Linked DNA regions of Lytechinus pictus. The protein of the gene in region 2 binds, or shares a complex with, the protein of the main gene of each other region. Links are inferred from orthologs where the notes say so. Each region holds a gene or a part of one and is shown on either strand. Other genes may lie near its edges.

Evidence for each region. Proteins that work in one complex are often made in the same cells at the same time.
Region 1: WASH complex subunit 1-like (region 2) and WASH complex subunit 5-like share a complex: the UniProt entries of both Drosophila melanogaster proteins name them as parts of the WASH complex. The link is inferred for Lytechinus pictus from reciprocal best matches to the Drosophila melanogaster genes wash and Strump.
Region 3: WASH complex subunit 1-like (region 2) and WASH complex subunit 3-like share a complex: the UniProt entries of both Drosophila melanogaster proteins name them as parts of the WASH complex. The link is inferred for Lytechinus pictus from reciprocal best matches to the Drosophila melanogaster genes wash and CCDC53.

Annotation. Positions count from the first base shown.
Region 1 is NC_087261.1:28,106,007-28,114,687, reverse strand, and holds the start of WASH complex subunit 5-like, read left to right. Parts: upstream 1-5,411; 5' UTR 5,412-5,553; exon of another isoform or gene 5,554-5,991; intron 5,992-8,681. UniProt on the Drosophila melanogaster protein: Acts at least in part as component of the WASH complex which may regulate wash nucleation-promoting factor (NPF) activity and is required for its membrane targeting during endosomal sorting.
Region 2 is NC_087247.1:74,319,706-74,327,556, reverse strand, and holds the start of WASH complex subunit 1-like, read left to right. Parts: upstream 1-4,458; 5' UTR 4,459-4,612; intron 4,613-7,851. UniProt on the Drosophila melanogaster protein: Acts as a nucleation-promoting factor by activating the Arp2/3 complex to induce actin polymerization. Participates in both linear- and branched-actin networks.
Region 3 is NC_087263.1:2,397,741-2,406,385, forward strand, and holds the start of WASH complex subunit 3-like, read left to right. Parts: upstream 1-5,375; 5' UTR 5,376-5,493; coding exon 5,494-5,544; intron 5,545-8,045; coding exon 8,046-8,144; intron 8,145-8,487; coding exon 8,488-8,553; intron 8,554-8,645. UniProt on the Drosophila melanogaster protein: Acts at least in part as component of the WASH complex which may regulate wash nucleation-promoting factor (NPF) activity and is required for its membrane targeting during endosomal sorting.

The sequences.
Region 1 (8,681 bases), on a different chromosome or scaffold from region 2:
TACAAAAAAAAAATTAAAACCTCACAAATCCCCAATTTAAGGAAAAATATGTCATGAGCACATAATTATTATACACTGTTAGAAAAGTTATCCTTAAAATAAAAGAAGTTCCTGCAGCAGAGTCTCGAGAACACCTGTAATCTTTACCAGATTGCGTAATCTTACAGGAAATTGGTATTTGATGTATGGAACCTTACAATTTTCCTTTAATAAAACACCCTTTCCCCCTTTTTAAACAGACCTGTTCTGTTAAATTGCAGAAAAATTCCTGTTTTATGAATTTACAGAATGATTCTGTTATTGCTTTTTGCAAATTCTTCTTTCTTTTTTTTCTGTAAAATCAGGGTTTTTTAACAGTGTATATAGTTTGAAAGAGTATGTTCTCCCAAATAATTTGATACCATATTTATGTGGAATGTGTTAACGCTTCGATGATCAGCATGTGCGTATTCTGGAGGGTGCTTTTGGGGCCTGGGCCCCACGGGTAGGCGAAAAGGGGCGCGCCAAAAAGAAGAAAAAAAAGGAGAGGGAAAGAAAAGGGGAGACAAAAGGAGGGAAAAAAGAAGAGAAGTCGAAAATAAAAGGGGAAAGAAAGAGAGAAGAAACAAACGAAAAAAGAGGGAAGGAGGCGCCGGATTGATTTTCGAACTCGGCGGGGGGGGGGGGGCCAAATTGATGTTCGACATAGGGGCGTCGAATTGAAGTTTGACCTAGGGTCGCCGAATTGATGTTCTACTTAGGGGCGCCGAATTGATGTTCTACCTAGGGGCGCCGAATTATGTTTTACCAAGGGGCGACGAATTGAAGTTTGGCATAGGGGCGCCGAATTAGAGTTTGATGCACTGGCATCATTGTTAAGATATATACGTATACCCATCATCAAAGCTGGACCCGCCCCTGGTAAAGAAATGTCAGCTCACAAAATGTTTGAAGGGCCTACTCTGATGAGAAGTTGAAACCCCAAAGTGCTTAAAATTCTAAGCTATAGCGTAAGAAAGTTTCACCAGTTGTTCTTAAAGGTTCTTTTAACTTACGAACAGCTTTATGAAACACCCATCCGGGTCAAATTTATTATTTTAAAAAAGTGGTATGACAAAATATCATGAACACATAAAAAAAAGTGGTCTTCATTTGCCTTTTTTCACGTGATTATGAATTAAGATCATTCAACATGCATTTTAGGCACCTGAAACCTAGTGGGGAAAAGAAATTATTGTATATTATATTACAGTATTACAGAAATATTTTTCATAACTTTATGAAATATTATTTGCTTATAGGACATACTGTATGTGTTCATCATTCAGTGGTGCTCGATCGCATTGTCTGTTTAAAGATATATATAATCCTGCCATACTTGGTGTGTTAGTTTGTTCAGCTTTGGGGTCTGATAGGGGGGGGGGGCTCATGGGACGGGAGAATGCTCATATACATTCATTCTTTAAATTTGCGTAGTTGTTACGTCTTTGTTTTATTATTTGCTTTATAGCTGCATACATAAGTTGTTGAAATGTTATTTTTGCATGAGTTCGGATTATGTCTCTTTTCTACAATTTGCCTGCTTTGTTTATTACACTGTTATTTAATTTGTGTATTGCACTGCTGCAATTATCATTTTGTTCTATATTTTCTTGATTATGTATGTATGAAATTTATTTGAATGAATAATAAAGATCACTACAAAACAAAAAATACTAAAACATCCCGTTTTCAAGTCCATATACATCAAATCTATTTCCTCGCACTTCGAGTTATTATTGTTTTATAAAGTGACATATGCTTTTTTCATGACTATTTTATGTGATTGAATATAAATCATTTCCAGTCCGTATTTACGTTCGCATTAGTGAGATATGTCTGCTCTTCATGGATTCCTATAAACAGTCCTTGAAATGTCCCCCTTTCTGGTCTAATAATAAAATCTCTTTAGTCTCTCTCACCCATGGCTGTAGGGAGCGGAAAATTCGTTTTACCCCCCCCCCCCCCCCACGTACCACCCACCCCAGGAAAAAAATCTGCGTTCGGCTTCATGCACCCCCTCCCTCCCATAAGTTATTCTACAGAGAATATACAGTGCGTATCAAAAAAAGTTTACACTTAGAAAAAATCCTGTAAAATTATACATTTGTAATATCCTGAAGATTTTTCCACATTTTAACATTGGTACAGATCCATTTAGGCAAATGACGATATAACTGTCGAAAATATTTCCGCTTGAGTGAGCACCACTTACTTTTGAAAACTTAGTGAAAAATGTTTTGCGCAGAACTTTGAAATAGTTATGGGAATAAAAGTAGACCTTAATTATGAAGAACACATTGAATTTAGCTAGTAAAATTGGTTTGAAGATACCTTTTACCTTTTTAACTTGTTTCCTTGTCCAACACACTTCGAAGAGTGCATTGCACCCATGGGCGGAAATCCCGGGGGGGACAGGGGGGACGTGTCCCCCCTACTCAAAATAGTAGGGGGGACACAATATCAAATGTCCCCCCTACTTTTTTTGGTCTTTTATGATGGTAAGAAATACATCATTCTAAATCGAAATAAAACATGTATTTTTTGGGACGAGTTGGGACGAGATGACCTTACTTTTGGGATGATAACCTTTTTTTTTGCTTGTCAAATTTCCCGCCTCTTGTCCCCGTAGGCGGACCAGGGGGCCGAGGGGCCCGCCCCCCCCCCCCCCCCCCCCCCCCCCTCTTGGCGGAGCAAAAAAAGAAAAAAGGGAAAGAAAGAAGGAATAAAGGAGGGAAAAGAGAGGAGAAAAGAAGAGAAGGACGACGAGTGCATAAAATAAGATGAGGGGAAGACTTGAAAAATAAAAATAATCTTTCGTGCCACTATAGAAAATTTTTCGCTCGCGCTTCGCGCTCGCATTACCTGTTAGGTGATTTAATATCTTGTTCAATATGGAGCTCGAATGTCAAGTTTGGAAGTCAATATACAAAACATATTTCACCTCGGAAATCGAACTTTCATTATTTTGTGTGATTTACAAATTGATTTTTAAAAAGTGCTCTGTAAAAATGTCAGTTTTATGGTCTGAATATTAACATTTGCTGCTTGCGCTGCGCGCTCGCAAATTTTGATTTATCAGGTACCTATTATTTTCGTGTATTTCATAAAGTTTTCAAAATATCCCTTTTCAGGTCTGATTGTTAAGACGTATCAGCTAGCGTGCTGCACGCTCGCATTTTGATTGGCGAGTTATATATGTTTCAATATTGATTATACAACAAACTACTTATAATCCCCTATTCATGACACAGTTTATCAAAAAATTTACCTCGCAATTTGCGCTCGCATTAATGGTTAAAAATACATTAACTGATGCATCCTATTCATAATTACAGAAGTGAAATGTCCACTTTCTATGCCATAATATCATCAGATTTCGCGCCCTCATATAACGGGCATTAATAAATATGATATTAATTTAATAATCAAATTGTCCCTTTTGTTTCATCTCGCTTAGCAAGAGGAATAGGAAGATAGTCATCATTTTCATATGATGACATGTTGTAAGGATGTCCCGGTCCTATGTCAAAACTCAGAGTAATAATAATGAAAATATCAGCTCCGGTTTTTAAGTGCGATCCATATCCACCTTACAATTTTTCTACAAAGTGCTTGAAATATAAAGCTGAACTTGACTCTTTTTTTCAGATCGGAATATCAAAGTTTCATGATTTTCATGATTGAAGATGTATTTAGAATGCCTAGATTCTAGGTCTAAATATGAAACACGCGCGCGCATGTTTATTCAGATACTCAACTTGTTCTCTATTTAAATCATTATCCAGTTTCAGATCACAATATCACTATTTTTCTGCTCGCGCTTTGTGCTCACATTATTAATGTAGGAAGACCCCATATTACTCATCCTTTTCATGATTTACAAAACATGAACAGAGTGGCCCATTTTTAGGTCTAAATCTTGATTTTTTTTCTGCTCGCTCTTCGCGCTCGCATCAATTATTAAATTATATAGCTATCCTGTTCACGATTACAAAAACTGATTAAAAGTTTCCTTTCTTTCTTTAGAAAGTTCAAAATTTTTCAGCTCGCGCTTCGTGCTCGCATCTTTTAATTGTTGAAAATATGTAACGCCTTCATGGCTAAGTGCAAGCAGTCCTTAACAGCTACCTTTTCAACAGGTACCAGTTCAAAACGTATATAAAAATTTTCTGCTCGCGCTTTGCGCTCGCATTATTAATACTCATCCTTTTCATGATTTACAAAACGTGAATAGAGTGTCTCGTTCAGTAAATATTATAGGACTAAATCTCGAAATTTTCCGTTCGCGCTTCGCGCTCGCATCAATTGTTTACTTATATACCTATTCTGCTTGAGTTACAAAAAGCGCTTAGAATTTCCATTCTTTGGGTGAAAATGTCCCAAAAAAATTAGCTCGCGCTTCGCGCTCGCATCATATAAATAAGGATTATGATATTATATATTAATTAATAAGAATAAAGCTAAGAAGTGACTAATGAGGACTATCCCTTCAAAGAAACAAACAAAAATCATCTTCGAGCTGCCGATCGGGGAAAATATGGCTGAAACAAATTTCCGCCCCCCCCCCCCCCCTATTGGCGAAGGCTGGATCCGCCCCTGTGTCCCCCCTACCTTTTGGGAGAGATTTCCGCCCCTGATTGCACCCCACCCTACTCCCCCACACACTGAGGCCATCGTGGCGATATTTGCTCTACACTGAGCTGTGATTTACATGAAATGGCTTAATTTTTAGGCTTGATTTTCATTTTGTTAATCATTGTCAAGCTTCGAAAGGGTGTGGAAAAACAAGTATTAAATGAAATTTGAAATGTAAACCCACTTTAAATGATAAAAACTTAGTGAAAAAATGCTGGAGATGTCTGATATAAACTTTTGTTCAGATTTAGTTATGTCCTAGCTCAGATCCAGCTGGCACAAAAAGGGTAAAAGTTGTGCTTACTAAGTGTTGAAATTTCAATTTGGGTGGCAAAATTGTTACAAAATGCTTGAATGTATCTGTTGTATTTCAATTGACTAAAAGTGCAAGGGAAATGTATGAGAAATGTTTCGCAGGGTAAATTTGATTTCGCCCTTTCCCCTTGACACAGCGTGAAACTGACGGGCATTTCTGTGCAAACAGCTAGATCTCTGCGAGCTTTACAAAAATGGACAGTGCTCACTCAAGTGCAACATTCTGTCAAACTTTTACTTTCATTGGATAGAAGAGACCCAAAGGTTATATGTGAAAAATTACCCACGTGTTGTATATTTTTTTAATTCCCAGGGCTTTTTCAGAGTGTTAATTTTTTTTTGATACGCACTGTAGAATCGCTTTCGTAATGCCCGTGATTCCTTTCTTCCTACAGTTGTGAATCCCACGGTCAAAACATATCTCCTTCCCGGATCTCCTTTCACTCTTATGATTCGGAAAGAGGGGTTTATATATTCATGAGCCGATTGTCGGTCAGGGTTGCCTTTTTCTTTCATTTGAAACATACAACCAGTTGGTGCCCCTGATGAAAACTGAGTGAAAATTAGTTCCTTCCGGCCTGAGTGAGTCCTATCTTTTGAAGTGCCTACTCGGCCTATTCTAATCTATGAAGGGATCACAGGAAATCACTTTTAAAAACTGCTAGTTTCTGTTCTCTTTTGTCTTTGCAATGCAAGTTGAATTCTGATTTTTTTAATTGTAGAGTAACACTCTCTGTGAATAATTTATGAAAACTTTGTGGAACTTTTAGAGAATCTAGAAAGGTAAAAGTAGAGCATTTTGGATCAACGACGCTAGCGCTCGGTATATATAGCCGTGCGCCGCGACCGCGAAGAGGTCGTGAATTCGGATCTTTTCGTTTCGGAATTTTGTTCGATAATTTACATTCACATGATTCAATATGGCCGCTCCCTGGAGGGTCTGAGATAGTTTCTTGCTAATTACTAGATCTTCCCATTTCCAGTTCTATTTTTGATACAGTGAGCTCATTTATTGAATGTGTGAGTATGCATTTTTGCTTTTCATACAATCATTTATTTTTCATCCTGTCTCATTAAAGATATTTTTATGAAGTTGTGTGGGGGCGGAACCTGGAAGTCGTTAAGCTCGGTCCCATACGTCGACTCTCATGTTATGTTTGGTTAGCTTTTAAAGAGGCTGTTCTTACTACGTTCCTAAAACTAGTTTACTATGGCTCACAGCTCCTGTGTCTCACTCAATCCTCACTCAACAAACTTGACTCTGCCCAACACTCCCTTTTCAAGAAACTCTTGGGTCTACCTAACCCAGAGAGCTCCGGCCCGCGTAGCGGGCCGGAGCCCAGACGCTCAGTGTGCAAACGGGCATTCAGGTGAGAGTACCGTGAAGTTTGGTCAAAATAATTTTGATAATACATAATTAAAACAGAAATTAAGCACTTACCACGATTGTATGGATGATAGTCTAACGAGTGGCAGTTTCCTGACATCGAGGCACAGACTGGAACCTCAAAAAACGATCAGTTCTGTCGCGGTAGCTCTCCTCTTTCAGAATTCAACACAAAATGGCCGATCGAGACCGAGGCTAGTATAGCACTAGCGCATATAGACTTTGTCAAATTCGCGCATGCGCCCTACACCCTCTCGAACGGCCATTTTGCTATGAATTTTGAAAGAAGGAGAGCCACCGCGACAGAACTGATCGTTTTTTGAGGTTCCAGTCTGTGCCTCGATGTCAGGAAACTGCCACTCGTTAGACTATCATCCATACAATCGTGGTAAGTGCTTAATTTCTGTTTTAATTATTTATTATCAAAATTATTTTGACCAAACTTCACGGTACTCTCACCTGAATGCCCGTTTGCACACTGAGCGTCTGGGCTCCGGCCCGCTACGCGGGCCGGAGCTCTCTGGGTTAGGGTCTACCGAGATCCACTCACACGTATTGCGAGGTTAGTATTAGTATACTAACCTCGCACCACGAACCGCGTTTGGCAGTGGATTTCTAACTAGTGGGTCGCGCGTGCTGGGATCTCACTTCTTGGGTCCACAACACACGACTTCTATGGCTTGAATTTTCTGTGCGCGGCGGCATGTAATGAACCCTTGGGTGACCGAGATCTGCCCCCAATATCTCTATCTTCCTGTTAACTGACCTACTTCACCTCTCCCGCGAGATTTGAACTGAACACTTTCCTTCTGATAGGACAGCTCTTCAACATCGACCATAGTAGATTTGAATTTCGCTCATTCCTCCATGCCCTCTCCATCAAGACTCCTACTATCATCTACTGGAATAAACTGCTCTCTAAGTACAACCTTCCCTCACTCACCTCTCTCCTATCTGAAGATTTCTCATACAACCGCTGGAAAACTCTGTGCAGGAGTAAAGTGTATGATGCCCAAATGGAAGAAGCCAGAGTGTGCATTGAGAAATTCTCATCCCTCAGCCTATGGAGTAACCTCTCAATGCTCCCCAAGATATCGTCACTTTACCCCTCTTCACTACCGACCCATCTTCGATCAGCTGTGATCTTACGCGCTCAGCTACTTACGTCCACCTATCCCACACAACGACGCCTAGTTACCATCAGGAAGAGCACAGACCCAACCTGCAATCTCTGCTCTCTAGAGGAAGAAACCACTACCCACTTTCTTGCCTCATGTCCAGTCCTTTTGACGCAGCGTCTGGACCTACTACAGCATGTTGAGAACCTTGAATTGCCTGCACACATCCTAAATGATTTCACTGGAAATGACCCCCTCATCCTTGCATCCTCCATCCTTTTTCCCTCACACTCTCTGCCCTCCTCTTCTGCTTCCTCTCTGACATGTCACTGCCTAAGATACATCTTAAAAATCCACCTATGTCGACAGCACCAACAAGAAAGGACCTGAACTTTGCGGCTTGCCGCCGATCTCCGAAGACCGGAGGAAGGAAATATACAAGAACAAGAACTGGAAACTAGTTTAGTGGAAACTAGTTTAACGCGTAGTGAGAACGGTCGAAGCGATCTTGCAAACCAGTTTGGAAAACCACCTCGCGATGTAGTTTTCAAGATCGCTTTGCCTCGTTAAACTGGTTTTACTTTTAGCGTAAGTGTAGCCAGGCGGCTTCTAGAGAGTAAAAATCATTTACTAACGTAAGGTCACTCTCATGAAGCCAGGCCTTCTATCCCATAGACCCACACAATGGAAGCCAAAACCTGAAACTTTCACCCCCGAGATTTCTACTTTCCTTCTAAAAGATCTAGCTCTAAATCACTCTAAGCACCAAGGCTATTAATTCCTGTGTTAAAAAAGTGAGTGCACGCGAATTAAATGTTGGACTTAAATTACTAGATCTTACCATGGAGCTCCATGACGAAATCTGTTCTTAAATTAGACTCTAGATATTACTAAATTGAAAAAATGTATAAATAGTACTCGCCTGGTCTTTTCTTGGGGTATTGAAGCCTTTTTGTCCAGAACTTGCTCAACTTTTGCGGCAAATTTTGTCGCCATAGGGTTGTGCACATTCTCGTTTAATACTGGTTGTCACGTGACACGGCAATGTCGTTAGGCTGTTTGGCCTGTATTCAAGGCATTCTATCCGTTATGATTTTATATTGAATTAAGCAAATTCCATCAGGTATAGGCCCCTATCAAGTCAAAATCGATACAGGGATCGAGAGGGGGGGGGTGGAGCCAAAAATTTCCCAGTCACATGGTAT
Region 2 (7,851 bases):
TATGATTAATAAATTGAATTGAATGATATTCTAATAATTTAGGTTCTGCAATTAAAAGCCCGGACAAGCTTTATGTATAATGTGTTTACTTTGTCAACAGATTTATAAGTTAGTTCTCGCCGACAAAAAGACTGACCTCCAGATGGAGTATACTCCATACCCCTCTGAGTTTTCCTCTTTTTTTTTTTTTTATAGACAAAGCCTATGAGCCTACAGATACTCATCCTTATAGGGCACATTGATCAAAAGGGAAATTGTTATTTCAATCATTATTTTATTTGTCATATTATCTTATAGGCCTAAACCACTTCAGTCATATAATTATGGTGTCACCTCTAATAACCTAGATCGTCTGTAGAAATTACAGAATAAAGCAACAAGGGTCATTTACTGTCAATCATCATAATACACCCCCCCCCGATTACACTAGCTGAAAGTAAAAAATCGAATTCAGCACAAGTCTCTGACATGATTGAGGAAACTCCTGCACCATACCTGTCACACCTCCTAAGAGTTCGCCAATTAATGTACAACACTCGATAATCATCACATATATCTCTCTTCACATCTCACGGACATTCAAATCAATCAGTCAATAGGCATGGGTGGAAATCTCAGGGGGGACAGGGGAACGCGTCCCCCTAACCAAAATGGTAGGGGGACACGATTTCAAATCGAATACATTCGTAATTCCGAAGCTTCGTTATTCCGAAGGTTCGGATATTCCGAAGGTTCGTTATTCCGAAGGTTCGTATTTCTGAAGGTTCGTAATTCCGAAGGTTCATTAGTCCGAAAACGAAATGAGGTTCGTAATTCCGAAGGTTTGTTAGTCCGAAAACGAAGTGAGGTTCGTAATTCCGAAGGTTCGTTAATCCGAAAAAGAATGATGAGGTTCGTAATTCCTTATTTCGTTTTCGGACTAACGAACCTTCGGAACAACGAACTTTATTTCGTTTGCGGATGAACGAACCTTCGGAACAACGAACCTTATTTCGTTTTCGGATTAACGAACCTTCGAAACATCGAACCTTATTTCGTTTTCGGATTATCGAACCTTCGGAATAACGAACCTTCGGAATAACGCCACAAATGTTCGGATTAACGAACCCTTTTACGTTTTCGGATTAACGAACATCGAGGTATAGCCAATTTACGTGTTTCGGAATTACGAACCTTCGGAATAAAGAACCTTCGGAATTACGAAGTGTAACCATTTTACATGTCCCCCTTCTATTTTTGGTGGAAAGAAATACATCATTAAAAATCGAAATAAAACATGTATTTTGGATGAGATGACGTTGCTTTTTGGGTGATTACCTTTTCTTTTTTTTTCTTTTTTTGCTTGTCAAATTGTCCAGCCCCTGGTCCCCCTACTTTTATGGAGAGATAGGTCAAAAGGTGATATGTAATTTTCTGTGTTTGCCCCCAAAATATTGGAATGCAGACATTACCTCATAAACTTAAACAACGTCCTTATATTGATGTGTTTCAGAAGATGCTCAGATCTTATTTGTTTTGATATATTGCAAGTAGTATTTCATTTTGTGTTGTTATATTTTAAGTTTTTGTATAGCGCTTTGTAACTTTTTGAAAGAGCGCTTGATGAGAAGTTATTATTAATAAAATTGTGCCCCCAAAATTTACGCTATTGAGACGAAATTGGGTGATTAAAAGTTGTGTATGTGTGTGTGGGTAGGGGCTGTGCCCCTGGCATATAAATCCAGTGGCCTAAGTGGCCACGCCCTATATTGGAGGCACAAAAAAGAACGAAGGGGAAAAGAGAAAGAAAAAAGGAGGAGGAAGGAGAGGACCAAAACGAGGAAAGACAAGAGGAGGAAGAAAGATAAGTTTAACTGGTCCCATAATGTGGAATAGTCTCCCTAGCAACATCCGTTAATGTTCTACAAGTATTAAAAAACAACATATAACTTATTTTTTTCAGTATATGATCTCCTTAATAATATACGGTATATTGTAAGGACTTCGAGTTTTTGGTGAGTAGAATTTATTGTCAATTGATTTGATGTTTCAAATAAACATTGCTGCTGTTTATTTTGTTGGTTTTCATCTTTTGATTTTTTTTTACTGATTATTGTTGTACATTGTAGCAACATGATCAAACAATTACAGTATAAAACACATTACATACAAAGAAATATAGTGAGAATTAAGACAATTATCATTAAAATCATTATATATTAAAGTGGGGACCATTTCTTATAATGAACTTGTTGAGATTTAATACTATACTTTTCGTTGCAATGGTATCATCAATAAAATCGTATAAGAGACAGGGGGGGGGCACAGTGCCCCCTTTTTTTGAAGCACTGAAAAGGTGTCCTTTTTACGCAAGAAAAATGCCCCCTCACGAATGTGTAAATGTTCCCCTTTCATCTGAGGAGGACCCGTTTTAGGTGTCACCAAGTGCTCTTTCTCGCATAGGTGCCATTTTGTTGTTGTTGCAAAAATGCGCCCCTTCTCGAACCTCTAATGTACCCCTTTCACCTGAGAAGAACCCGATTTATGTGTTAGAAAGTGCCCTTTCTCGAATCAGTGCCCCTTTTTACCCAACTTCAAAGTGCCCCTCACGAACGTGTTCTGTGCCCCTTCATCTGAGGAGGACCCGTTTTATGTGTTACCAATTGCCCTTTTAGGTGCCATTTATTTTGTTGCAAAAATGCGCCCCCTCTCGAACGTGTTCTGTGCCCCTTTCACCATAGAAGGGCCCATTTTACGTGTTAACGAGTGCCCCGAAACAAGAAAACAATAGTCTAATTTTATTCTATTCAATTCAATTTGCATTTTTTTTTCATTCTCGATTAAAAAACAAATATAAAATAAGATATGAAAAACTATTTACAAGCAAGCTAGAGTATACAATGAAATGGGGAACTGCATAAATAAAGCCAATAGGCCTTATAAGCGCAGTTCCCAGAACATTGATAACATGACATGGTATACAGAAACGATAAGATGTAGAATTAAACATGATACATAAACAATAACAACAACAACAACAAATAAACACAAAGAAACAGAAAAAAACATAGAAAGTGTCAATTTACAAGAGAAAAAATAACTAGGCCCTATACATTTTGAGATATAGAAACTGTTTAATTTTTTAAATGACTTAACAGACTTGCATTCATTTAGGGATGGAATTCCAAATCCCAGGGAAATTATGTCGTAAGAATTTCATGACATTATTAGTTTTCACTGGCCATAAGTGGAACGAATCTCTAAAACGGGTATTGGAAGAGAGTCTTTTAACCTATGTTAATACTTCATGCTTTTATTACATGTATTGGAACGAAATTTTGAAATTCAAAATTGTTTGTCTGAATGAAATATTGATTACACACATTCGATTTAGCCCTATTTGAAATCAAAACAGTAGCTATAATGAATAAATATTAATACTTCATGCATTTATTATCGGAATGAAATTTTAGATTTCTTTTTCGTACTGAGATACTGATTACTAGTAATTTCTATACATTTTTTTTAAATTAATATCTCGATACTTCATGCACTTATTGTAATTTTCAATTCTTTGTAATAAAATATTTGATTACACACACGAACTTTAAACCTCTTTTGAGGCAGTACAGTATTTTAGAATCAATATGTTAGGACTTCACGCATTTTTTCATTAGAATGAAATTCTAAACTTTCGGTACTGAAATACTAGTTAATTCTATACAGTAGCTCTTTCAAATAAGGTGTTAAAGTAATACTACATCGGGACTACATCATTGTCCATTGGAATGAAATTCTAAATACTGGTTATTTGTATACTAGTAGTAGTATACCCTTTTTTAAGTATTGTTGTCTTTTGTCAAATGGAGGCTTGATTTATGTAAACGAGTAGCTTATATAAATGTAATATATGTATAATATTGACTTGAAGTTGTGAACAAAATGGATAAATAGAGACGAACTTGAAATTGAACTATAGGCATACAGAATACCAATATATTTAAATATTTTTGGGTCAATTTTTAAACACGAGTCCCATTGCATATGCACCATAAAATTAACACATTTATCAGTTAAAACTTTGTCTATTTCAAGCAATGAATTATTGAGTTCCTCGTTACAGGCATGTTTCCACATATTTTTTTCGCAGATGGGGTACAGAACATACATTTATGAAAGTTAAGTGTGGAAACATGACATCATACCCCCCCCCCCCCCCCCGGCCGCTGCGCTGCATGACGGTACGGTGTGCATATATCAGGGCCCAACTGAGTTCATTTTTGTTATTTGTTATCAGATTTGGATGATTTTTTCGATGTTTAACATTTTCTCGGTGAATTTTACTTTATTTTTATTAGATATAATAATTTTCAGCCAAGAGTGTGGGGCCTAGCGCCCCCCCCCCCCCCCCCTACACGGCTAGCTCAGACCCAGAGCTCAGTCAACTTTGGCAGTGCAGTGCATGCCATATGCAGTAGTACATATACCCCGGAAGTGATGGTGAGTCAACATGCTAGACTTGTACCGGTACGTAGCTAGTTGTAGCCTGTGCATGTGACCAACATAAGTTACCGTACCCGACATCGTTTGCGCAGGATCCAAATAATAATATATTTCATCGATTCTGTGAATTGTAAGTAGTAATTTTTATAACGAAAAGTGCTAACAGTCATTGCTCATTTCAGATGGATTTATTAGCTGTGAAACGTAGTATGAAAGTTAAATGCTCTACACTTACTAGTATCGGCAATGTAACGTAACTAAGCCAGCCACACGGGTTGGACTCCCTTGGCTTGGGATCGGGGCAAAGTTCGTACACTGTACCGCCCAATCTACGCCCCCTTGGCCTTGAAAGAGTTTACAAAGACAAGGCCAGGGACTTGCACATTTATTGTTTAGACAGTAAGGTTATGCCTAAACAAACTAGATACATGTACAGATTTGGACTGGGGGAAAGCTGATGCAGCTATAGACAGCTGGCAGCCGTCTGTTTCGAGGAGATTTTTAACATTTTTTTATTTTTTAAATTTTCCCTCGTACACAGACGGCTCGCTATCGTGTAGACCAAAAGCTTCGGTCTCTGTTATGTTGGTTGTTCAGCTGAACTCTGTTGGCTTCACTCACCAAATACAGAGACCGAATTTCTAGCGCGATCTGTACAGGGGACTCAATGGCCATATGTTTATGTGTATTAAGTTCGGATAAAACAGCTACAGGGCAGTGAAGTTGCGCGACAGCCGAGGTAAGTCACTGTTTTTGTTCCTTTTAACTTGATTTTCCCCGTTTTTTGGCAATTAATGCCGAGAGGGAATATTAATTTGCATTTCAGTTGCGTTAATTTTCAAAAGTTTGATTCATTACAGACAAAAATTGAAGAGCCCCAACGGGGGGATTTTGCATTGTAAGTCCCCTAAAGGAGAAATTAAAAAAAAAAAAAAATGTTTAAAAACTCCTCGAAACAGACGGCTGCCAGCTGTCTAGCTATCGTGCTGACACCATTAGGGGACTTACAATGCAAAATCCCCCCGTCGGAGTTCAGCTGAACAACCAACATAACAGAGACCGAAGCTTTTGGTCTACTGCAGCTATAGACCAAAATCTTCGGTCTACGTCTCTGATTATTGCATGTTCCGCTGATTGGCTTTGGCTCCATTCACCAATTTTAGGCTACGTATTAAAGTTAGACCAAATTTCTTACTCGATCTGTACAGGGACTCAATGGCCATATGTTTATGTAATTAAGTTTGGGTAAACCAGGAAAGTAAGACTGTAAGTCAATGTTTTTTCCTTTTATAGTTTATTTTTTCCCGTTTCGGTGCATTTCAGGCCAAAACTGAATAGATCTAATATTATTTTAGTTCTTGTTACATATTTTTATGAAATAAAGACAAAATCGATGAGCCCCGTCGTGGGGATTTTGCATTGTTAACCCCTAATGGCGGTTGCACGATCGCGAGCTGCCTTTGTACGAGGAGAAATTAAAAAAAATAAAAAATGTAAAAAAACTCCCCGAAACAGACAGCTGCCACAGTACCAGCTGTCTACCGCAACTATTGTTTCTGTCAGTTATGTGTGGATTTTACTGTAGAATGAAAACTTATTGACAACATATATTGCCAGAGCTCCACTTGCTCACTGCGCAGTGCAACTAGCTAGGAGGCTCCTAGAGAGTAAAAATCTTTCACTAACGTGTGCTTACTCTCCAAGGAGCCAGGGATTGTGTCTTGTTCATGTGCATGTACCGCGAAAAACTGAAACTTTCGCCCCTGAGATTTCTACTTCCTTCTAAAAGATCTTGCCCTAGATCATGTAAATGGGATACAGTTTCATTTCCGACATTTCTATGATATTGATTCAATTTTAAAACAGAATGCAAAAAAAAAAATCTTGAAAAGACAGGAAGACTTGCCGCGATGTTTGCATCGCCATCCTGTTCTTTTTTGTCTTTCGCCAAGCTACGTAACGCACATTGAGGATGTTTTCTTGAAAATAACTGTCTATGATACATGATTTGTAATGAAAAGCTGCCTGTGGGATGAATTACTCTGACTTGTGACAATCTGCTCTATATCCTACACTGTATGTCCATTTCTTTAAAGACCCTGACCGGTGTAAAAACAATCATATATCAAAATAAAGGTAATGATTCATACAATACGAATATACCAAAAATATTACATATATCTCCTTCCAATAGTTAAAAATATTAAATAAAAATCAAAGAAACTGCTCCTCCAAAGTACGCTTCGATTGAGCACCCCCACGTCGCCTGGAAATGATGACGTCACGTTGTGTCAGGAGGGTTGTGATTCCATAGGTTTGTGTACAAAAGCATTGGGTATTTTCTTCCATTTCCATGTTATGAATCCATTTTTTTTTTTGTTTTCAGATGAAAATGGCACTCAAAATTATTCACTGTTCAAATTGTTGTAAACCTACAACTATTCACTACCTTTTTTGTGATTTCTTTGTTTGGCTCTTATTGGGCCTAAATTGCTATGTCAGGAAAAGTTGTTATACATAATCTAAATGCAGATAGAATTGAAATCTGCGCCAAATAAGCAGGAAATAAAATATGGCAAAAACTAGTTCTAAACTGCAGATTTCATAAATTCAAGCTTGTGGGTAAAAATATATGTGATATCCCTCTGTGATAGAAGTGAAGAGAATGAAATGCGTTATCTGGAAAGCAAAAAAATCATCCAGTTTTTCTGTGTACAAACCTATGGAATCACGACGCTTACAACGTGACGTCACGGTCTCGAGGCAGGTGAAAAGCACAATAAAGCCTATTTTCTAAGCGGGGTTCGGGGTTCGAAACCCGATAATTGGAATATTCTTAAGCAAAATACTCAGCTGGGAAGCGGTGAAAATGCATAAAGCATACCTTGGTGTATTTAGTAGCTTATAAGCTTTCGATTGGTATATAATTTATCAATTTCATTTTCGGGTCCGGTCTGGATCTTTAAACAAAATGATTGTGAAATTCTGCAGATAAAACAGTATGTCTTCAGGAACAGTGAGGAAAAGTTTGCACCATTTTGCAATAGACCTTTACACATGTGTGCATTGACGTCATCGGGCCGTTGCATGGCATATGTTGATGATCTTCAGCTGAGATTTCTTACATTGCAACTTTGTTTACTTGTATTCTGATATCCTCTGAGGGAGGGCGCTATGAGATTATGACGTCGTATTTATTTATTTATGTATTTATTTGAACAGACTCCTTTTAAATCATACAGATATAAAGAAAACAAAATATGTACAATCAATAAAAACAAGCAAAACAACATACAAAAGCAAATTATATCAATCCCTTAACCCCAAATGTAACACTATTCAGACAAGGCTGGAACAGAGAAGGGGGCA
Region 3 (8,645 bases), on a different chromosome or scaffold from region 2:
TTAGGATTTCCAGTTACCCAATTGGTTCCAGTTAGAAATCATTTCCATTTGGAAGTCATTTCCAGTTACCCAACTGGTTCCAGTTAGGATTTCCAGTTGCCCAACTGGTTTCAATTGGTTTCAACTGGAAATTGTTATATTCCAGTTAAAACCAATTGAAACCAGTTGAAACCAATTGAAACCAATTGGAAATCCAACTGGTTTCAATTGGATTTTGGTCCTGGGTTTGTAGTACAGTTTATTCTTTTTTAAAAACCTCCATTGAAACTTGCCTCACCTCCTTTTAAATTGGCTTCACCATAATTTGTAGTACAGTTTATTCTTTTTAAAAACCTCTATTGAAACTTGCGTCGCCTCCTTTTAAATTTGTAGTACAGTTTATTCTTTTTTAAAAACCTCCATTGAAACTTGCCTCACCTCCTTTTAAATTGGCTTCACCATAATACAGTTTATTCTTTTTAAAAACCTCCATTAAAACTTGCATCACCTCCTTTTAAATTGGCTTCACCATAATACAGTTTATTCTTTTTAAAAACCTCCATTGAAACTTGCCTCACCTCCTTTTAAACTGGCTTCACCATAATACGTACAGTTTATTCTTTTTAAAAACCTCCATTGAAACTTGCCTCACCTCCTTTTAAATTGGCTTCACCATATACAGTTTATTCTTTTTAAAATCCTCCATTGAAACTTGCCTCACATCCTTTTAAATTGGCTTCACCATAATTTGTAGTACAGTTTATTCTTTTTAAAAACCTCCATTAAAACTTGCCTCACCTCCTTTTAAATTGGCTTCACCATAATATTCAGGTAAGGTATATTCATTCTTAAAAAAAAAAAACATATTGTTCACTTCCCTCACCTAGATCATTTGGCTATATATAATACCTTTTATTCTACACTATTCTTCCCTTTAAAAAAACCTGATTGTACTCCTGCCTCCCCTGATCTGACATTTGCCTCTCAACGTACTGGAAATAGATACCCTTTTTTCAATATTTTTGTGTTTTTGACACCCTTATCACGTTACGTACGTAACCTGCCCTCTCTTGAAAAAGACATCCCTTTTACGTGTTTTTTTGGTCGCGCATATGGTATCCACTCGTCAATGTAAGTGGCCCCCCGGGCGTACTGTACATAGTGTTATTTTATTATCTCTTTATATCGGAAACTTCGTTTTACCGAATTGCCATGCACTCTCTCCGACGCGTTTGAAGTCTTAGACAGCATGGCATACTACCAGCCGATGGTACACACACGCACACACACACACGTTATTTGACAACTTGTCCCTGGAGCCAAAGTTCCTCGCATATAACTATCTGCATGCCTGCACGCAGTGTGTATTGAACACGCACGACCACGATCTAATGAATATTCATCGGCGAGACTGACGTAATTTTACGAGTCTCCTTTCAAACTTGGATCATAAGTGCCTACCGTATGAATGTCAATCCCAAGGAACAAAGCGAGTATATTAAAGGTCAAGTCGAACCCCAGAAAAATGTTGCATTGAATAAATAGAGAAAAATCAAATTAGCATTACGCTGAAAATTTCATCCAAATCTGATGTAAAATAAAAAAAAAGTTATGACACTTAAACGTTTCGCTTACTTTCACAAAACAGTGATAAGCACAGTGACACGCATATAAGACAATCGATGATGTCCTTCACTCACTATTTCTTCATTTTTTTTATTATACGATATTTCATTTTTACAGATATGACGATAAGGAACAACTTGACTGAATCATGTAGTATTAAACAATGCTAATTCCACATGTTCAGGGAGGAATTATTCGTTTTTTCACTTGAAAATGATGAGAAAATTGCAATATTTCATGAAGCACAAAAGAAATAGTGAGTGGATGACGTCATCAGTCCCCTCATTTGCAAACCGATTAGGATGTACATATAACTGTTGTGTGAAATTAAGCGAGACTTAAAAATATCATAACTTTATTATTGTACGTCGGATTTTGATAAAGTTTTCACTGTTTTACTTGTTGGATTTTTCTCTTTCTATTCAAATAAACTTTTTGTTGGGATGGACTTGTCCTTTAACGAATGCTATTAGTCATGTTAGTAATGAAGAATCGCTGACGTTGGAGTGAAAATATACAAGTTTAAAATTGTTCAGTTCAGTTCATTTATTCATTAATGAGTACAGAATTATATAAACATAAAAGATACACTTCAAATATATACATCAATAATTTGAAATGTAAACATGCAAAAAAAAAACAAATTAAAATAAATACAATAATATTATTAGGCCTGTGTGCAGTAATGAAAAGGGTGATTAAATAAAGCCAATATATATAGTGGCCTTGTGCATGAGGTAAAGTCTCCTAAAATAATAAATGATAATATGGAGGCTACTCAGTATCAACATGATCAAAGTAAATATGAGAACTTCGGTTACAAAGGTAAATGGATTAAAGGGATGGTCCAGGCTGAAAATATTTATATCTCAATAAATAGAGGAAAATTCACAAAGCAAAATGCTGAAAATTTCATTTAATTTCGTTTCATTTCGTTCAATTTGATCAAGATCGGATAACAAATAACAAAGTTATTGAATTTTAAAGATTGCATTATTCCAGTGAAACAGTTCTAGGCATGTCTTTATAAATATTTTATTAGGTGGGCTGATGATGTCATATCCCCACTTGTTCTTTTGTATCTTATTATATGAAATTATGTTTATTCAAAATTTTTCTACCAAGAACTAAAACAATTGGATTGACAACTGATTAAGTGCATTAATTATTTATTGCCGCAACTTATTTCATCATAATGGAGACACATCATTTACACAATGTATGAAAAAATGAAAAATTTATGATTTCATATAATAACATAAGAAAAAGGAAAGTGAGGATGTGACTTCATCAGCCCACCTAATGAATATTCATGATGATGTGCATATAACTATTTTCACAAAATATTGACAAATTTTAACATTCAATAACTTTGTTATTTGTTATCCGATTTTGATGAAATTTTCAGCATTTTGCTCTGTGAATTTCACTCTATTTTTTTAGATATAAAAATTTTCAGCCCGGATCATCCCTTTAAGAAAACGGACGTACAGGATAAGCACAAATGTTTTACAAATCGTGTATAGAATTGTAACATAGCTGCAAAATTAGGAATATTTTGAATAAAAGTATTGTTTCAATTTTCATTTAAAGAGGGAAAGAGACTTGCCTGTGCCCTGTGGGAACAAATTTCGGTATAGAAATTCCAGATTATTGGGGAGTTAAAGCATAAACCTTTTTGTACATAGGACATGTAGGACTTTCCTACTTTCCAAAAATAAAACAAATTACGTATAATTACATATAATTCTGTGTCAATGTACAGCATTATTGATACAAAATTTTTTACTAATCTTATTTGTCAGTATTTTTTAAAGTAGAAAACCCTAATATTGCAACTTGATATTGATAAAGATGGACAATATTCAAAGTATTAAGTTTACGAAATAAATGAGATGAAGCTGAAAGATAATGTCTGTTGGTGCATATATAAATTGTTTTTTTTTGTAATTTAAAAAGTTTATCTAATTTGGATTTACTGCAATTACCCCAGACATCAATACAGTAAAGAATGTGTGATAATGTTAACGAATTATTGTAAATAGAGAGTACCAGATTTAGGAAGGCAACTTCTTAACTTATACATAATTCCAATACATTTCAATTTTGGTGAACTTTGTGAGAATTTACAGTATAAATGTAATTTTTTTAAATTTTTTTCAACTTTCTTATTATTTCATATAACAACATATTTGCAATTGTTCATCCGGTCCGAATCTTAACCCAGAAAGGCCCGGGGGCGGATTCCGCCGCCCCATCATTTTTCACGATAAATCCGCCGAGCTCGCTGACTCTTTACTTTCAAATCTCGCACAACTTTTGAGACCAAATTTGCGATGCCCAGGTACGCGGTTACGAAATACTACGCAACATTATGTAAGTGCATGTCAGACCCAAAACTGCTCAAAAACGTGAATTCATGTACAAATCCAATGCAAATTGTGTATTTAGCCAAAATTCATAAATGTATCATCATTTCTACTCTTACTGATTAAACTTAATTAATTTTGTCTTGTTTATGATCAGAATTATGTCTGCATCAATTTCCATCGGAAAAAACAATAAAAAAAATAGAATACATTAGAAAAAAATGCGATACCATTTTTTTTTAAATACATTTTATTTTGATCGGGAACCTACAAAGAGTCTGTGAATAAAAAAAATCGGAGTTTTGAGGCCGTATGATAGTCGATTAGAGCAAATGATTTATTTCATGCAAAAATTAATTCAATAAATGAAATATATTATTATTTGAAAAAAAATCATACAGCCTTGTAGATCTTATCGCACACTACCACTGTTTAAACTTAATTAATTTTGTCTTGTTAATGATCAGAATTAAGTCTGCATCAATTTCCCTAGAAAAAACATCGAAAAACAAGGAAATACATAAGAAATTAAAAAAATAAAATACATGAGAAAAAATTGGGATACCATTTTTTTTAAACTGATTAAACTTAATGAATTTTGTCTTGTTTATGATTAGAATTAAGTCTGCATCAATTTCCATCGAAAAAAACAAGGAAATACATAAGGAAAAAAAATACATAAGAAAAGAAATGCGGTACCATTTTTTTAAAGTACATAATTTTGATTGGGATCCTACAAAGAGTCTGTGAATAAAACTATGAACGCACTGTATTAGCAGTTTTGGCGCCGTACATAGTTGATTAGAGCAAATCGTTTGTTTCATGCATAAAATAGCATAATTAATTCAATCTGTGTTAAATAGCTGCAGGATTCAATAAATGGAAAATATTATTATTTCAAAAAATTAACCATACAGCCTGTAGATCTTATCGCACAGTACTACTGTGCACCCCCTCCCCCCGGCTGTGAGATGGGTCCAAATAACCCGGCTCTTTTAGGTTTAAGACGATGCTCTTAACTTTAGAAAGTCTACGAAGTGGATGCTATACTGGGCGTTGTGGCGTGCGCCTGTAATCCAAGCTGTGGGGAAGTTACAAATTGATGCAGAGGTTCGAGCCCTGGTCACGTCTTTCGGATGGTGACGTTAAAGGTCGGTCCCAGACGTAAATAATCATATCTGATTGATACACGTCTGACAAAACTCAAATACACACACACACACACTATATTCCTGTTGATACGAACAAAACAAGGATTAGATAACATGGGATCAATTCCCTCAATTCAACCATGGACCCCCATGGACCTACTTTGCTTGTAGGTCCATGATTCAACCCTCAGAAAAAAAAACAATTTGCTCGCTCGCGCTCGGCAAGTATTGCAGCCCTCTCGCGTCCACTTCTCGCCAACTAGCTGTAATAATAAACCGGAAAGTGAAAAACTAAGGCTGAGTAAAAAATAGACTTTCTATCAATACTCGCCATTAATGGTTAACAAATAATCTATTTTCGAACCAGGATGGACGCTGACGGATTACCCCTTGTAGGACCAGGAGTAGATTTGACGAAGGTAAGAGGATTTTATTGTGAAAACGATTTTTATCAGCAGAAAGTTAGGGGCGTCACTAATTAATTTTCTTCGGTCCCACATGCCTATTAACATGTGTGCATGTCAGTGTCATTTTGTACAATCGTCGCGTCGCTAGCTAGCTAGTCACCCAGTGCAGTTTGTTTTGGCGCTTTGTTACAAATAGCTAGTCTTGAATGTACCTTTTTTTTTGCATCGATTAACCTTTTGGATAAGAGAGCAAATAATGAGCAAAGTGTGTGTGAGACAATTTTCAACATGTTCAAATGAACTGCTAGTCAGCTGATGAAAAAGTCTGACTAGTCTCTGTCTGTCTGACTGTGTTTTGTTTTGTTGCAATGATGTAAGTGAAAGAAGAGTGTAGGCCTACATGCTGCAGCTGTGCTTGCCATACATTGCCATTGGTTCTCAGGCTTTAGTTTCTTTGACTTTGGGATGTAATTCCATTCTGTTCATGACATGTCACTTAGTGCTTTAGTGACTTAGTCTTAGACAGCTGGCAGCCGTCTGTTTCGAGGAGTTTTTCAACATCTTTTTATTTTTTAAACTTCTCCTCGTACACAGACGGCTCGCTATCGTGCAGCCACCATTAGGGGGTGAACAATGCAAAATCCCCCCGACGGGGCACATCGATTTTTGTCTTTATTTCATAAAAGGGTCATTCTTCAATAAGTGTATATTTTCGACCATTGTGGGATGATGAAATTCAAAACTATTTCTAAACTTTCTTTTTGTCTGTTTAATATATTTGTACATCTGTAGATTATGGAAATACTGTTTGGCGCGATCTTTATGGGGACTAAGTTATAATTTTGGGGTCTTTTTAAACATGTACACTGTTAATGCGTCATCTCCGTCACAATAGACATCACCAGCACTTACACAGATATGGGTATGTGGGACAAGGTAAAGTTAATGATATCTGTAGTACTGTACGGTGTACCAATTTAGATCTGAAGTCCTCCAGACCAAGGCCAAGGGTCACTTTTCATGTTGTAAATATAGCCGTAAGTTTATCATGAGCCCATGCAATGTGTCAATTAACTAAGTTCATAATTCAAATCAAACTCATCATCTCCGTCACGAAAGAGCCGTGACGGAGATGATGCGTGACGGAGATGACTATCAGACACATATGCACCGATAATCAATGTCTGCAATACCAACTAACGCGAGTGCGGCATTGGCTGTTCTGTGGGCACGTTAATCTTTCATAGAAACGATTAGAAAATAAATGTAACACCTTTATCTAGCTAATACCAAGCGTTCGGAGATGACGCTGAATAAAGGTACGCACCTGGTTTTTGACGAAGATGCCGCCCGAACAATGTCAAAACCCCGGAGATCAGGGAAAAAACGTGTCGATTCTTTCTCCGTACTATCCACCGGCCATTTTGCAACCACAATCTTGAAAACCGTGCACTTTGTTGTACTGTAGATGGCGCACTGAAAATGCGTGACGGAGATGACGCAAAATCGTGTGACACAAAATAATAGGCCTTAAAAACAAAAAAATCTTAAAATCGTTGCTTGCGCGTGTATATTTGAGTGGTATTCGTTGTCAACTCATAAAAATTAATTTATCAAGGCATATTATTACAAAAAGATGCATAATTTTAAAAATGCAACACATGTTTATGTTTACATTATGTTATTGTGACATGCAATTTTGAGGGGGGTGGCCATAAAAAAAATTAAAAATAAATTATATATGATATTTCTTTTTGACCTGTTTTAATTTTTCATTATTTTTTACATACGTGTTAGTCAACACAAAGCGGTAAAAAATAAGAAAACTTTTTTATATTTTTTCATGGGACTCCAAAGCCATGTGACACAAAAATATACACTTATTGAAGAATGACCCAAAAATATTGAAAAAGAATTGAACCAAAATAGAGATTATTATTCCGTTTTGGCCTGAAATGCACCAAAACGGGGAAAAATAAACTTAAAAGGGGAAAAACAGTGACTTACTTCAGCTGTCGCGCAACTTCACTTCCCCGTTTTATCCGAGCTTAAGTACATAAACATATGGCCATTGAGTCCCCTACTCCCCTGTACAGATCGCTCTAGAACTTCGGTCTCTGTATTTGGTGAGTGGAGCCAACGTAGTTCAGCGGAACAACCAACATAATTAACATAGACTGAAGCTTTTGGTCTATTAGTGACTTAGTCTTACCTAGGCATACCTTACCGCAAATACTGGCTGGAAGAATGCTGAATCAGCAGTCGAGCTTCCAGGTCTATGTTCTTGTCAGCTACAGGTCTTCATGTCAGCTTCCTTCAATCTTCATGCTTCAGTAAGTTCAAGGAGGCAGGGGGGCAAGTTGGTGAAAATTGCTAATTTTTTCCTGGAATCACAAACACCCCTTCATCCTCTTAGTTGATTGTATTGTCTAGATCTACATTTTTGTAATTCAAAACTAAAAGCACAAAGTTGTTATTCTTGAAATTTTCTTCTGTTTTTTTTTTAATTTCAGGTTGGTGCTATACACTCCAAGCGAATGCTCGCCTTTTTAAACCACTTCATCATACACACAACCAGGTTTCTCAACAAGTTCTCCTGTGTTTGTGAAACGGTAAGGAGTAAATTGGCTAGTCACCAAGATTTAGTTACATTAAATTTACCTTCATCATGGACTCCTATGTTGATGTTTGTACTTATCAATATCATGTAAAACTATCGCTGGCCTGGAAAGTTGGAAAGTGCTCTTCAAAAGTGCCATTTTATGGTCAAAAGAAGTTATGTATTTACTAGCGACAGGAAATTGCAAATTTTTGTACCCAATGGTCATGATGGTACATGTAGATTATATTCAAACTTTACTTTTACCTTCAAAGTCGTTCAAAAGTTTGTAACATACATTTCGAAATTGATTAATGTAGCAACCTTCCTTTTTTTTATTGCATGACTATTTCCAGAAACTGTCGGAGATCACAACTCGTATTCAAAGGCTTGAAACCACAGTCAACATATTGGAAGCAAAGGTAATAGAATACTTCCTGGATTATTTTTGTAACTCATTATTGATTTGAATATACTTTCCCTGTTTTTCCCCTTGCTTTTGGGGGTTCTGTTT